2 linked regions of the Rattus norvegicus genome follow. The protein of the gene in region 2 purifies or fractionates together with the protein of the main gene of each other region. This does not show direct contact. Links are inferred from orthologs where the notes say so. Each region holds a gene or a part of one and is shown on either strand. Other genes may lie near its edges.

Region 1 (8,276 bases), on a different chromosome or scaffold from region 2:
GTGCTTACACCGACATAACTCTGCTCCAGTCCCCAGCATTTAAAACTCATTTTCAGCTCTTAACTTCGTATCAGGAATCTCAGAAACCTAAAAGCTTAAAAATGACTCCCATCCACCTGCACTGTCAGCATATTACCCAAACTACTTGGCAGTCTTGAAAGCTACGTGGGGTGGGTCCTGAGGATGTAGCTCAGTTGGTAAAGTACCTGCCTAGCATGCACAAAGCCCGAGGTTCTATCCCCAGCACTACAAAACAAGAAATGGCGGGCAGCACACACCAGTCCATTTAGCATTCAGGAAGTCCAGACAGGGCGATTACAAGTAAAAAGTACACAGCAAGTTCAAGGTCAGCCTGGCACAAGAGAAAGAGTCAAAAGAGGAGAAAGAAAGGGAAAAAAGAGTTTTAAAGAGAGAGAAGAAACAATGAGCTAACACGGGAACTATATGGATACCCAGCTCTTAACCCAAAATTCAACATCCAAAGCAGTCTGCTACCTTGTTTCTGATTTGCTCATGAGCAACTACTAGCACCATGCTAAAAAGCATTCAAATTGCCTTTTTCATGTCTCCTGTGCTGCCCCCTAGATGACCATAGTGTAAAAATGTTAATCTCCTAATGAAACAAAATCCTAAAGCCAGTATAATGTCTGTCCTAAAATATGATTTCTCACAATCGAAACTACCTTCTTTGGAACAGTTTTCAAATTCTTTTAAACAGCACAAACTGGCCTTAACCCTAGTCAAGAACCTCCCCACTCAGTAGGTATTCCTTTCAAACTAGCTTCCCAATTAGATCTCCCCTTTTACATACTCTGACTCTAAGTCTTTAGTTTTGTTTGTGTACGCTCTTTTCTTCCTAAAAGAGCCTTTCCACGATTTGGCTCAGACACTCCAATTATTCCTGGGTCATCCAAAATCAGTATTTCCCTAATAAAAATGTGCAATGGCATTCCCTGACATATAGTAATCTTAAGAGTAATAATGGCGACACATGTCCCCCTTTCTGACATTTTTAAGAAATGTATTTATTTTTACTACTACTGCCACACTACTACTACTACTACTACTACTACTACTACTACTACTACTACTACTACATGTTCATGCACACAGCACAGGTCAGAGGACAACTCTGTACAGTTAAGTTTTCTCCTTCCACCGCTGGACTACATGTCCTTAGACTTATGCAGCAAGCAGCTTTACCCACGGAGCTATCACACCAGCCCAATCTTTCCTAAAGTTTTGTACAATTTATATTGATTGCCTCTGGTATTGGTAAGAAAAGGCACCCTCAAAGACTGAAAGTAGCAAATGTTTTCTTATTACTTATTTCTTATTACAGTAAAGTATTTCCACAATTTAAAACCAGTTTTCCCACAAAGCAGGTCCTCCAGTTGGTAAGCAACTTTGACCAGATGCAATACAAACTCAAAGTACCACTTCTTGGTTTATTCTCTCCTTCTTTCCAAGAAGCAAACTATGCAAGTCTAAGTTTCTCAAGTATCATCTTTTTCAAAGCTGGAATACATGACTTTCTCAGGGTAACAAAGTAAGGTTAGCAAATCAAAAAATGTGTTTTATTCTAAATCTAAAGAAATTTACCATTCAATATTTTCATGCCACTTAAGTAGAATGTAAGGTGTCTTGTAAAAGCATAAGAAGAACAAAGTATCTAACAAAACATAAAGAGCTAGAAGACCCAGAAAGAGGGGAAAGATAGCCAAAGAAATGGGGTTTGGGGGGCCACAAAAGTTTCAACATGGCTGGCAGTCAGGACACACACCTTTTAATTCCAGCCAGCACTTAGAAGGCAGAAGCAGGTACATCTCTGTGAATACTAGGCCAGCCTGGTCTACAGAGATAATTCCAGGACAGTCAAGGTAACATAGTAAAACTGTCTTTTAAAAAAAGTTGGAACAAAGGGCCACAGTTAGGTTCATTGATTATTAAAGACCATGGTGGAATATGGGCCTCTGGTTATGTGCAAAAATTAATTTTGTTTTAGATCAAGATAATATATCTGTGTCAGAGGATAGGATGACAATACTGTGACCACTGAATATATTTATTCAACTTCCACTGAAATAAACAACCTGAAACCTGTAAACTAAAAAAAAAAAAAAAAAAAAAAAAAAAGTTGGAACAGATGATAGGAGAAATCAAACAAAGTCTATAAGAAATGTAAGATTAGCTCACAGTGTTTTAGCATTCCTCAAAGAAACTGTATCCTGAAAGATTGAGAAGGCAGGACAAAGAGAAGTAAATTGTTACATAGTGCAGAATAATAAACTTGAAGGTTCCTTACTTTAAGAAGAGGAGGGGAGAACATTGTGAAGTGTGAGAAACTTTCAAAGAAATTTAATCAAGATCCTAAATGGAGAGATTAGAATGGGTGGATAGATAAATGGATACTCCCAGGTTTCCATTCATTTCTACGGAGGATCTCTATTCTGCCCAAATTTAGTTGTCTGGGTGGACCGGCGTTCTCAGTCTTACACTGCCTATGTTCCTTGTTACACAAAATCCCACAGTACTTGCCTTAAGATGTTTAGTTTAACCTTACATAGTTGAAACATTACTTTTCTGTACCTCTAATTTAGCACTCAGTGTGCTAAGTGCTTTCTTAAAAGAGTACAAGTTTCTATGTTGACAAGTAGAGCCAAATAAGAAAAGCAGCATGCATGTCCTTTCAGTCCCTAGTAGAAATGTGTTATCACTTAAAATAGATGACGAGAGAGAGAGAGAGAGAGAGAGAGAGAGAGAGAGAGAGAAAGAGAGAGAGAGAGAGAAGTTGCAAGTGCTCTCCCTGAAATAAGTTTCAGCGAGTTGTGCATCCTAGGAACTCGGATTCTCCTGAGCCAAATGAAACATGCAAACAAGGACTCTACACATTGGAGTCTGTGGACTTATGAAATAAAGCGCTGGGGGCACCAAACCCCTCTTTGCACTAAAATCAAAATTGGTCTTCCTGACCAGGGCAACTTCAAAAACAATAGTTAGGAAAGGAAAAAAAATAAAATAAAATAAGAGTTGATTCAAGTGATTCCCACGTGGGAATCCATGGGAGTTTCCCTGAAACAAAAACCACTGCCAGAATCAGGTTGCCAGAAAAAGGTAGAGGACAGAGCTGTCCACACAGCTCCTCTAAGAAAAACGCCCGAGTACTTGCATTACTCCTGCAAACTGACGCTTTCTCCCGAAATTAGAAAGGAAAGGTCTCCACTGCCAACCCTCCCGAGAAACAGCCCAACTCCACCATCAAAGCACCCACCCGCTCCCACTTGTCACCTTATAATGTCCCCCCTCCTTCGGGTCCACTCACGCTTCAGAGACGAGCGGTGGCGCTGACAATGTGGCTGGCTCCCTTCCTCCTTCGGGCTGAGGCGGGCAGCTGCGGAAGGCTAGGCGCGGAACTAAGAAGCGGTGCTAGCGTCGCTCCACGGAGCAGCTACCCGGGTCTCTTCCGCGCTGCCGGGATAGAAGCTGAGGCGGCGGCGGCGGCAGCGGCAGCAGCCCCGCTCACCGCTTTTTCTCTTCCTGGGTCTCTGCAGGCTGTGGCTTCAGCCCGTCCTGGGCCACTTGTCCCGGGACAGTCACAATCAGAAAGCTCGAAGATTTTGTTTGGGTAAAGTTTCCTCTGGGCGGAGGCTGCAGCCGGCCCCCCGAGTCCCCCCCGGCCCCGCCGCCCTGGGGGGCTGGGGCGGGGAGGGGGCGCCGAGAACTCCTGGAGTCCCGCCGAGGAGCCGGGGTGCGGCGGCGGGCCCAAGGAGAAGCCCCCCAGAGGGGGTGAAGGGGAGGGGAGGGGAAGGAGAGGACAGCGGCGCCCGGGCCGCTCACCACGCCGCCGCGGCCGTTTCACATCGGGGTCCCCGCCCCCCCGGCCCGGAGGTGGCTCCTGGGCTGGGGGCCCCGGTTCATACACTCCGCTATGGGATGCTACGGCCCGGGTCGGCCGGTCTGGACGGCGGCAAGGCTGGGGACCCGGCGGGCTCGGATCGGCGCCGCCCCCGCTCCCGGCTCCCGCATGTGTCGCGGCGGCCGGGACCCCCTCCCTACACCTCGGGGGGTCCTTCGCCCCACACTCCGGGGCGAGGCAGAAAGCCCAGCCCCTCGCGGGCGTCCTCTCCCGGCTGAGCAGCTACGAGTCCCGACCGGCGGCAGCCGCCTCCCTGCCCCCCGGCCGCGGGCTCCGGCTCCGGCTCTGGCTCCGGCTCTGGCTGGGGCTCCCGCTTCGGCGTGTGCAGCAGCCGCTGCCGGCCGGGAAGGTAAGGGGGGGAGCAGACGGCGGCCACGGCTCCCGATGGCCCGGGCTGCGGCGAAGGTCTCGGCGGCGGCCAGTGCACGGGTGCCGGGTCTCTCGGATGCTCGCTCGCTCACTCACTCGCTCTCACCGGCGGCGGCGGCAGCGCCCGAAGCTCAGCTCGCTGTCTCTCTCGCTCTGTGCGGGGCTCTCGCCTCACTCCAGAGAGGGGCGGGAGGAGAGCGGCGCCCAGCGATGACGTAAGTCGCCTAGCAACCGCTCTCCTCTCCCTCCCTTCCCCTTCCACTCTGCGCCTTCCTTTGCTGGCCTTTTCTCCCCATCTCCAGCCACCCCGCCCTGGGAGGCTGTGGCGCGTTCTGATGACGCACAAAGGGAAAAGGAAGTCGAGATCTGGGAGCGGGTGGGTGCGCCTCGGGCCGCGGGACTGCTGCTGCTACCGCCGCCGCTGCCTCCGCCGCCGCCTCTACGGCCGCGTCAGAACTGAAGAGAGGAAGGGGAGGAGCCCAGGCGAGCCTAAGCTACCGCCTAATCTTACCCCTGACCCTAGGGCGCGGAGAGAGAGCTCCGTAGCCGTTCCCTCCGGGGCAGGTGCGAACTGCTCCTCTGGGAGTGAGGAGGAGGCCAGGGACCGGGCTAGGGCGCGCACCACCCGAAGGTGAGGCATTTGGTCCGGAGCAGATCTTCAAACAGAGAGACGGGTGGAAAAGTTAACCTACAGCCCAGAGGTTGCACCTGCTCCCCGGAGCGAGCCACCCCACCCTTCCCGTGGCGTGGGGTGAAACCTGGCGCTGCATTCTGTGTAGTGAGTGAGTGAGTGAGTGAGTGAGTGAGTGTGTGTGTGTGTGTGTGTGTGTGTGTGTGTGTGTGTATAAGTGTATACAAGCCTGCCTCTAGCACAGCCTTAGCGGAACTCCGAGGTGATGGTGGAAGCGCAAGCGTTTTGTAAATTGAAGTGTAGAAACGTGAGAGTTGTAATACATCTCCCTCCTCACCCCCACCCGCCACATGCAATGAAAGGAAAGAGATGAGAGGCTGTTTGTTGAGAGTCGCAACTTCAGGCTTTTGTGGGAAAGGAGGCGAAATTACTAGGGTTGGAAAACAGCCTCCCTTTTAAGAGTCATTCTTGTTTGTCGTTTAGATTTGGGGGAACTTTTTAGAGAGCTGATTTTGTTCATCAGAGTGCCCCTTACCGTCTTCAAAACATTTTGGCGACTCTCAAGTCTCAATACCTCTCCTCTCTCCCTTCCTCCCTCCCTCTCCCACTGTGTGTGTTAGCGGCCGGGGGTGGGGGGGTAGAGGTATGTTATTAATAAATCTATTAAGCCGTTTGTCTTACAGATTCTGGTCTGGGAAATAAGTTTAAGAAAAAACTCATGAAATTTAAGCTATGGTCCTCTAGTAAAAGAATTTTCGAGATAAAGAACCACAGTGTTCAGAAATCTGTCTTGAACCTACCCTTCTTAGCGGTCTGACAGTGAGATTAAAGCAGCAGCTAAGATGAAGGGAAACCGTTGTGTGGCTGGACCTGCCTGCACCCCGTCCCTCTGGAAGCAACAGTGATGGGAGATTGGGCCAAACACACTCTGCACACATTTAAGAAGCAAGCCTAGGTTTATGCCACTGCTGTACCACCTCATGCAACATAGATCAAGAAAATGTCTATGTTGATAAATCAAGGGTTCATTTTTTTGTTCAGAGATGACAAAAGCCAAAAAAAAAAAAAAAAAGTGAGTAAAGGAGAGAGGAGGAGGCCACAAAAGCAAGAAGAGGCAAGTTGCACCAGACCCTCTGTACTCTACCTGAAATCCCAGGCGTCAAACAACTTGCCCTAATTACCCTGGATTTAAGTGTCTACAAACATGATCCATTCGCAGGCTGTATTCCAGTAAGATTCACAGGGAATCAGATCAATTCAACAATAGCCCAACATAGCTGCAACATAATCCTTTTGTTGAACTCTCCTCCTTACAGCAGAAATTAAATAAAATACAGGTGCAGAGGAGTTTGGGGAAGCTGAGCTCCTCAGAGTTAAAGTTTGTGGACTTTGAGTGGAAAGAGTACAAACATCAGAGCTCCACAACCAAGGATGCTTCCGGAGAAGTGCACCATGGGGAGTGTCAGAGTCGGATCTGCCTCATTGTCAGTGGCTCCAATTTAGAACCTCATCAGTGAGGGTCAGAATGAGACTCACAGGAGCCCTGAGCAACCTCCTCAGGAATAGTAGCTGCACTAACGCTCACTGAAAGTCCATTCTCCTCCTTGCCCAGCCTGGTAACAGGAGTAAACAGCTGTCTACAACTGGCTGCTGGAGAGGAAGGAATTCATACATCTCCAATTTGTTGTATATCCTTTTAGTTCCTCATATTGTCTGATAATCTAGAGGAGAAATATAGCCGCTAAATCAGATTTCCAAAAAGTAAATCAGAAAAATGTATTTCAACTAACCAGGTTCTTTCCTGACTTACGAGTTTGTCATAAACATCTATATACTATGTTAAAGTGGGACAAGGAGATCTCTGTGTAAGGTTCATAACTCTTCCCTTGAAAGTGAGCTTGTATAAGAAACTACTCAATGTTTTATTATCCCACATCAGTGGTTTCTACTGTTAAACACTATATAACAGATTAACCGGCAAAATTTCTAAAAACGCACCGTAGCACATCATCCAATTTTAAGCATCATTGTGAAATAGACTCAAAACATAAGACAATTGTGTGCTGTGGGTAATTATCAAAGAAACTACCATGTAAGCAGTCAAACAGGCCAATAAGTGGAGTTTGCTAAGCCTCCAAAGCCTGTAATGACCTTCCTAAACACAGCTCTCCCTTCTGGGAGAGTAAGCATTATTCTGACATTTGTGGCAATTGTTTCCTTGCTTTTCTTTATTGTTTTATCACAGGTGTTCATCCCTAAGCATTAGGTTGTTTAATTTTTCCCTTTCTTGTGAGTGTTCTGTAAAGGAGATAATATGTATAATCTGTTCTGCTAACCATATTTGCTCAACCTTGATGTAACCCATATGTTGTTCAGGTTCATATAGCTGTAAATTTGTTCCCTTTAATTCCTGAATATTCAGTATTCCATTGTAGCAATATATAACAGTTTGTTTAGCCATTTTGTTCTTGATAGGAGTCTGGGTTCAGTTCCAGGCTACTATAAATGCTGTTGCAAATATTCCGTAAGTCTCTACTCCATCCCATCTATATAAATTTCTGTGTAGTCTGTACTTGAGAGTGTATGTCATAAACATGAATAAATCATGCTTTGTGGTCGGTCGTCTAACATGATAGGGTCACATTAGTTAGAGGAATGCCATTGCTCCACACCTCACGACCGAAGGCAAAAACTCCATCTTCCCATCCTGCTGAGTGTAGAGCATAACTCAATTCAATTTTAACTTACATTTCCCCAGTTATTGACTCTGTTGAGGATCTTTTGTATATCTACTATTGTATTAGGGTTCTTTCTACAGGAACAGAACTTCCAGAAAAGGGATTCATTAGAACAGCTTATAGGCTATGGCCCAGCTAGTCCAACAAAGGCTGACTACCAAAGAAAGGTCCGAGAATCTAGTAATTGTTCCGTCCAGAGACTGAATGCCTCAGCTGGTTTTCAGTATGTACTAGAATGCCAAATAAGTGGGCTCTATTGCCAGTGAAGGAATGGATTCACCCATACGAGCTAGAGCCAGCATTCAAAGAGCAAGCTTCCTTCTTCCACTTGCTTTATATAGGCCACCAATAGGAGGTGTGGCCCAGATTAAAGGTAGGTCTTCCCGCATCAGAAGATCCAATTAAAAGCAGGTCTTCCCACTTCAAAAAATTTTTAAGAAAATTTCCCTTACAGATATACCCAACTTCTTGGGTTTTAGTTAATCCCAGTTGTAGTCAAGTTCACAACCAAGAATAGCCATCACAACTATATTGATAGCAATTACATTCCTCTATTTTTAATGTGTAATCTCTGAAATGCCCACAATTCCAGTGTCTTTTTTTTTTAAGATTTATGTATATC
Region 2 (7,558 bases):
GATGGAGGTTTGAGTCCCCAGGCCACAGTGGATGGATGGCCATGCTGATGGCAGGCGCACCCACATACACAAAATTAGAATCCAGGTCAATTACCAGCACACGGTGGCTTACTTATGAACTCTAGCTCTAGGTGATCTAGGACCTGCCTCCAGCTACCCAATAATATAGCAAAGACACAAACAACAAACAAACAAAAAAAACCCAAAACCCCCAAAGCTCTTAAGCGGCAGGTCGAGTGGACAGCACAACATAGTTCCCAACGTCTCTACCTTCTTTGTTCTCCAGGATGTTAGGTGCGAATCCACCCTCATCACCCACATTGGTGGCGTCTTTCCCGTACTTCTCCTTGATGACGTTCTTCAGGTTGTGGTAAACCTCTGCTCCAATGCGCATGGCTTCCCGGAAAGAGGATGCCCCCACAGGCAGGATCATGAACTCTTGCATGGCCAACTTGTTGCCAGCATGAGAACCGCCGTTGATCACATTGAAAGCCTAGGAGGACAGGAGTGATGTCACCCACCCAGGGAGGACAAGGGAGACCCACCACAGGGCATGAAGCCCCTGAACTCCATAGCTGCCAGTTGGTCCCTATGAACGCGGTCTCCAAATGCTCACTAGGACTCTTCTAAGAATTATCCCCTTATTGTGCTGGGCATCAACACACACAATAAGCAGGAGGGTCCTTGTGGGTACCTATGGCCGCACTCTCAGCCCCGCCATGGTTAGTGCTAACTGTGACCCTCCCAAACGCTGATGGAAGGAAGGTGCAGTCCTGCCAGCTTCCTGTCTGCCCTGACTGTAACCTAAGGCTTCACTGCTGCCCTGACTTCTCTAATACGAAGGGTTGTAGTCGGGAACGGTAATAAACCAAACACTTCCTTTCCCCAGCTGCTTTTTCTTGGGATATTTTACTGTAGCAACAGAAAGGAAAACAAGACAGACTTAGTGTCAAAGTCACTCACTGGGACCGGCAGGATGACTTCAGGGTTGCCGGCCAAGTCGGCAATGTGACGGTAAAGGGGCACCCCCTTCTCCACGGCACCAGCCTTGCAGACAGCCAGGGACACTCCCAGGATGGCATTTGCACCAAACTTAGCTGGAATAGAATGAAAATGGTGAGCAGGGGCCATTTCTTAGCCTGTTTCCCACTGGGCTGCATAAATGGCCCACCCGCCCTCCTGGAGATTCGCGTGTTGAATCCACAAGTGGCTGATTACGAATCTCCAACCGACCACTGAGGAACAGCTCCCCCTGTGCACTCACATTTATTCTCTGTGCCGTCCATCTCGATCATCAGCTGGTCAATCTTCTCCTGCTCCACAACATTCAGTTTCTGGAGAGACAGGAAGTGAGGGCTCAGCTACCACTTGACCCCACTCTCCCACCAAGCAGCTCTTCAGAACCCTGGGAACCCTGGGAATTATGTGCACTAAGTCTGTGGCCATGGGGCTGGGAGTAGAGCTCAGCAATGGAGCTTCTCAACGTTTGCCAAAGACTGGCTCGACACCCTGAAGGGGTAGAGCAGAGAGAAAACAAAACCTCGCTTCACTCGCTCTATTCAACAGCTCCAGGCATTTCCTGTTCAAAGACTACAGTCTACCTAGGCTACACACAAGGGTGTTCTTGGATAAAAATTAATAAAGTTCATTGTTCATTCAAGCAGGCAGAGGTCTGCAGAGGCTACCACCTCTAAAGCTCTTGGCCAAGACAAGGACAGAACACCATTGTTTGGTGAGAACACAGGTTGTCCAGGATCACCTTACCAAATACTTGATTGGTAAACATGGCTATTTTGGGGAGTGTTATATGAAGCAATAAACTGTTTCAATCAAACAGCGCATGTGGGTGCTGGAGATGGCTCAGCTGTTAGAACACTTGTTGCTAATGCAAATGATCTTATGCTCTTTCCTGGCTACCCCAGACATGCACATGGTCCATACTACACATGCAAGTACATCACTGTATATTCATTCACAGACACTATGTAAAATACACATCCCTGCGGTGCTGTGCGTGTGAGTGGTCAGCCCTTGCTGTTGTTTGACAAGGCATTGTTGAAGGCAAACATTTGCCCAAGCAGAAAGTTCCCAGAGGCTAAACCTCCCAAGAGTGTTCAATTCAAGGAGGGCCTAGGGATGACGGGACAGTGGGCGCACAAGGAGGCGCCCAGGAGACTGGAGCCGGCAGTTGTAATGAGCAACTGTCTGGGGACCAGACAAAGAACCAATCAGTGTTTGTTACAGGCTCGCTGGGGACAAAATGGATGATACAGGGCCAATCTGTGATTCAAGAGGGAGGAACTAAATGTTAGCAAACAGAGATGATGATGGCCGGTGGTCCCTCTGAGAAGCGACTGGGATAGGACCACAAAGGCAGCACACACACTGTCCAGGGACAAGCTGTGGCCCATGTCCCTCACACTGACCAGGTACAGTGCCTTATGCCTGGAGCCACAATCTCAGCTGGCTGTGAGCCACCTCACACTGGTGCTGGGACCAACCTCAGCTCCTGAAGGGCAAGCGCTGCTCTACTGAGCTTCCCTTCCAGCCTCAAATGAGGATGTTTTAAAGTGGGGAAAGGGTTGAATTCAGGGCTTAGCACTCAGTATGTACACATCAAAAAAGATGGAGGCTGGGGTGGAGTTCTATCTCCTTATACTAGAATTGCAGGCACCTGCTTCCACCTACATCCCCAGTCCCACCCAGTCTGTAACAAAGCCATCCAACAGAGCAATAAATTCCAAAGTCCCACTACTGCCTTGAACAAAGTCCCATGACACACAAAGGTCAGGAGAGCATATGGAAACATGTCAAGCACTCCCCACCCTGCCCCAGATTCAGGCGCTTTCAGAAGCAATGGCACACACTGGCAGCAGGCAGGTTAGACTCATGCCAGCTTCCAAAGCTCTCAGAATAAGCAATTCTTGTGAAGAGGAGAGGCCTGGCCCTTGCTCTGGTGGCATGGATACACAGTAGTTACAGGGGATGGGTCCTACCTTGCTAACCAGAGCAGGTGCAATAGTTTTATTGATGTGCTCAACAGCCTTTGAGACACCTAGAAGAACAATCATGAAATTACTTACACAATTACAGTACACAGGCTTGAGCAGCCTCGCTGGAGCACCGGAGTCCTGGGCCCAGAAGCCCGAAGAGCCTCCACAGGATCTTGTTAAACCCCCATCCCCCAGAATGGGGCTTTCTGTCCCAGTCTGAGTCCTCTTCCCTAGCACCCCAGGGGGTTAAAGCCACACCAAGAGCCATGACCAGAGTGCTGGGGGGGGGTATTAGTTCAAGACCATGCACTGGGAAACCCAGCTGCACACCAGGATGCCCAGCGTGTTACCTGAGTGCACAAGGCTGGTGCCAGGAACTCATTAACATATTTAACAGGTCTGGAGACGCCTACCCATTAGAGGTGAATAGAGAAGGAAAAAGACTCAGGAGAGAAAGGATTCAGAGGACACAGAGGAAAGAAAGTGAAGGAAGGAGGCAGGGGTGCTTCAGTAGTCAGGCTTCTAATGCTGGCTGGCTCTAATGCTGGCTGGCTCCTTAGCCCTGAGACCCCCTGACACAACCTCTCTTTGGAGATTTCAATTCCCGCTCTCACCACTATTGGTTACAGTAATGGACTTTCCCTAGAAAGACCAGACTGGAGGTTGGGGATTTAGCTTAGTGGTAGAGCGCTTGCCTAGGAAGCGCAAGGCCCTGGGTTCGGTCCCCACCTCCGAAAAAAAGAACCAAAAAAAAAAAAAAAAAAAAGAAAAAAAGAAAGGCCAGACTCTGCAGGGGGGTGTTATCAGAGAAAAGGGCAGGGCCCAACTCTGCAGCACCTGGGGGGGGGAGCAGACTCCACTTACATAACAAAGGTCAGAGCCACACCAATCTTAAAGATCTGAAGGCCAGAGATCTGGGAGCTTGTTTGATCAGGCTGATCCTGTCAACTGGACACCAGTGACGGCATCAGTCCCTTGTGGGAGGAAGGCGAGGGTAAGCTGCCCTGCTGCTTTCCTGATGGCAGTGCTCAGCAGTGCTGTGGGTGAATGCCTGGGAGGGGAAGAGGTTGGTGCGTGCAGATGAGACTAAGTTCCTATCCTTACCCTTCCCCATGAAGCGGGTCTTATCATTGTCTCGGAGTTCTAGGGCCTCGTAGATGCCAGTGGACGCACCGCTGGGCACCGCAGCACGGAAGAGACCTGGGAACAGTGGGGGGAAAGAAATTCAACATTGGGCAGTCCCAATACACAGGAGGATCCGTGTCTGAAGCCAACTGGGACCAAAGAAATTCTTGTACCTCCAAGTCCCCAGTTAGTAAATCCTCACTCAGAAACACGACAGCCTTCTCACCCGCCTGAGTCTTCCACACCACTCTTTATACAGAGTGAACACAACTTCCTGAGTGAGGGACATGCAAGGTAGCACTGTCTGTGCCCACCCTGACTTCCTGCATATCCAGATGGTCCTGGCCTAGGTGAGGCAAGGCTTGTCAGTGGCCACAGACACATAGATTCACAGTGCAAAAGCTGGGTACACGGACTAGGGTGACACATAATCCCCAGGCCTGGGTTCTTATGTGGGTCCTGGGGGTTGGACGCTGAGCCTCATGTCTGCACAGCAGGCATTTTCCTAACTGAATCACCTCCCCAAATATCTTGGTCCACAGTTCCAATCTCAGCACCTAAGACTGAGGACTTGACTTCAGTGTAGGCTACATACACAGGAAATCTTATGGCAAGATAAACTAATTATCGTAAAAAGCGCTTTTCATTGGCAGGCGAAAGCATAAAGATTCTAAAGAGCTACAGTTAAGACACCCGTCTTGTTTGACTGTTTAAATGTCAATTTAGGGGGTTGGGGATTTGGCTCAGTGGTAGAGCGCTTGCCTAGGAAGTGCCAGGTCCTGGTTTGGTCCCCAGCCCCAGAAAAAAAAAAGAAAAGAAAAAAAAAGTCAATTTAGGGGTAAAGCTGCACCAGCAGGTGGAGCCATCTCCTGCTATCAGACACCTTGTCATGCACGATGTCACCAGCAGGTGGAGCCAAACCCTGCTATCTGACACCTGATGCTACCTAGCATTCCTGGTATTCACCAGGAAACATTGCCAGAACACAGCTGAGAACCCCTGGCAAAGACAATGGCGGCCAACAAGCAGGCACATGCTGGTGATTTGAGGATCCCTCATTTCCTGGGACAACGGGTAGGTAGGGCTGGGCTCTGGTGCTTGAATTCTGAGTCACACAATGACTCAGCCCAGACTGGTGAGCTTGTGAGCTCTGTAAGACGTTGCTACATCTTCCCCAGGCCTCTTTCCTATGGCACCCACTACATGCATCTCTACATCTAGATGCTGGAATCAGCAGGGGTGGGCTTTTTTTTTGTTTTGTCTCTGAGTAGTAGAAACAGGGCCTTGCTATGTAGCCCAGGCTAGTCTCAAAACTGGCAATCCTCCCTCCTGAGCAGGCCCAAGTGCTGAGATTTATGGTAGTCGCTGCCACACCCAGCCAATCTCTCCTTGCAATGCTGTGATTTAAATTTAGGACTTCCCACATATTAAGCAAATGCTCTGCCAAACTATATCCCCACTCCCTTATAACACACGAGTTCCTCACCATGGGTAGCTTGGCCTAGAGGAAAAAGCAGAGCTTCCGGGCTGTCTCCTTCCTTTCATGTGGGGAGAGAAGGCTTCCCCCTCCATTGGCTGATCCGATCAGGAGGCCAGGCTTCTTCAGGAGCCAGGGCTTAAGCCCTCCCTTACTTCCCTGCCCCGGTGACCTACCCAACCCACATCCTGTCTTAAATACCAAGAAGCAAAGCCAGACATGGTGGCAGATGGCTCAGTGGGTGGAAGGCTCAGAGGGATCAGAGTAGATCAGACTCTGCCTTGCTTCCCCATCACATTATCAATAAACTGTGGTGCAAGAGACCAGGAAATAATGTGGGTTCGTGTACCTTTTGCGGTGTAGAGATCCACCTCAACGGTGGGATTCCCGCGGGAGTCAAAGATCTCTCTGGCATGGATCTTGAGAATGGACATGGTGAAGTTCTGTAGGGGGAAAATAGTTCATATATTACCCATAAACTCTAATATAGAAGGTTTATTTATCCCAAGAGATCACCCCCAAGATCCTGGACCTGGACAGAGAACAAGTGGGCTACGTACAGAAGTCACTTATAGCCCTCTGAAGCTAAGTGTTCTGTGGGCAATTAGGTAAATACAAACTGGACAGAACTATGTTCTGGCTGCGCAGCGAAGTGGGAAGTAACAGAGAAGGCAGGTCAGCGATTAAACAGACCTGTAGACCGGAGGGAAATGCAACATTGTGAAGCAGGGTGATTGTGGAAACAGAAACCCCAATTCATCAAGTTGTACCCATGGCAAGGGCAGAACATTCAGCAGACACAGATTTGATAACCAGTAAGAAATTGTGAGAGGAAGGCAGAATCCCAAACTCCTTGGCTGGTGGTCATCAGTACTGCCATTCTCTAGCCCGGTGGCACATGCAGGCTAGATGCCTAACACGTGGGCGGTCCTGGGTTCAATGGCCGCCATATTTAGGCAAGAGTTGACTTCTATTTCAAAGGGAGACCTTGTCTCGCCTTTAAAAGGTACCCAAAGTAGATGTCTAATTAGAAAACACCCCAGAGAAAGAGGATATTGAGCAACAAACAGCAAGTCTAAAAAGAAGGTCCCTTTCTTACTTCTTCCCCAGCAGGCTTTCCAAGAAAGGAATCTACCAAACGGCTTCTAGAACTAAATTGGATGAGACATTAAGACAATTAGCATTCGGAAGCTGTTATCTAAATAGGTTCCCTACACCTTTTCTGGTGAGGTCAAGGAAGCAAAGGCATACTTTTTGTTTCAATATAAGTTACTTCTGTGCTTGTCTTCTCTAAGACAAAGGACCTTTATTCACTAACCAGGAATAAAGTACCCACTTTTTATCCACTGTTATAAAATCTCACACCTGCACTTCCTATGTAGGCCAAGCTGACCCGAACTCGGTTATCCCCATCTTCAGCATCCCTAAGCGCTAGATTTTCAAGTGTGCATCACCAGGCCTGGTTCCTTTATGGGGGCGCGGGAGCCACGTGCCACCGCGGCGCTCTGCAGAGGCTTTATAACCTGTAGGAGTTGGTCCCCCCTTCCACCATTTGCATCTAGCTTGGATCTTTAAGCTAGGCAGCAAAGGTCTCTAATCAAAGAAAACCTCACCCACTCGCTCTATCGGGATTGAACGCCGGACTAAGGGCAGGAAAGTGGATCTAGAGGTCAGTCAGGCTTATCACCTCAGACTGGCTCTGGCCTACCCCGAAAGCAAGTCAGCTAAGGGACCACATTGTCTAGGCAAGAAAGGACAGGAAGTTTTCTTACGACTAGTAGCCACCCAGTAAGCCCGCAGCTCTTGCCTAACTCGGTCGAGGTCTCCTGAGGGCTTGCTTCCCACTTATTCAACGGGACTGCTGCAATTTCCTCTACTACAAGTACCTAACCGACACTCACTGGTCAGTAATATTCCAGAGCAGAGATGGGTTGGACCACTCCCGCCCAGTGACGCTCGATTG

Evidence for each region. Proteins that work in one complex are often made in the same cells at the same time.
Region 1: the proteins of Eno1 (region 2) and Fbxw7 purify together in Homo sapiens (affinity purification with western blotting; 3 studies listed by BioGRID, with this or other methods). This does not show direct contact. The link is inferred for Rattus norvegicus from reciprocal best matches to the Homo sapiens genes ENO1 and FBXW7.

Annotation. Positions count from the first base shown.
Region 1 is NC_086020.1:172,443,938-172,452,213, reverse strand, and holds the start of Fbxw7 (F-box/WD repeat-containing protein 7), read right to left. Parts: upstream 4,477-8,276; 5' UTR 3,323-4,476; exon of another isoform or gene 3,289-3,322; intron 1-3,288. UniProt on the Homo sapiens protein: Substrate recognition component of a SCF (SKP1-CUL1-F-box protein) E3 ubiquitin-protein ligase complex which mediates the ubiquitination and subsequent proteasomal degradation of target proteins.
Region 2 is NC_086023.1:166,003,909-166,011,466, reverse strand, and holds part of Eno1 (alpha-enolase), read right to left. Parts: intron 6,747-7,558; exon of another isoform or gene 6,695-6,746; intron 6,039-6,694; 5' UTR 6,030-6,038; coding exon 5,945-6,029; intron 4,194-5,944; coding exon 4,098-4,193; intron 3,403-4,097; coding exon of another isoform or gene 3,344-3,402; intron 3,056-3,343; coding exon 2,997-3,055; intron 1,335-2,996; coding exon 1,265-1,334; intron 1,098-1,264; coding exon 964-1,097; intron 494-963; coding exon 271-493; intron 1-270. UniProt on the Homo sapiens protein: Glycolytic enzyme the catalyzes the conversion of 2-phosphoglycerate to phosphoenolpyruvate. In addition to glycolysis, involved in various processes such as growth control, hypoxia tolerance and allergic responses.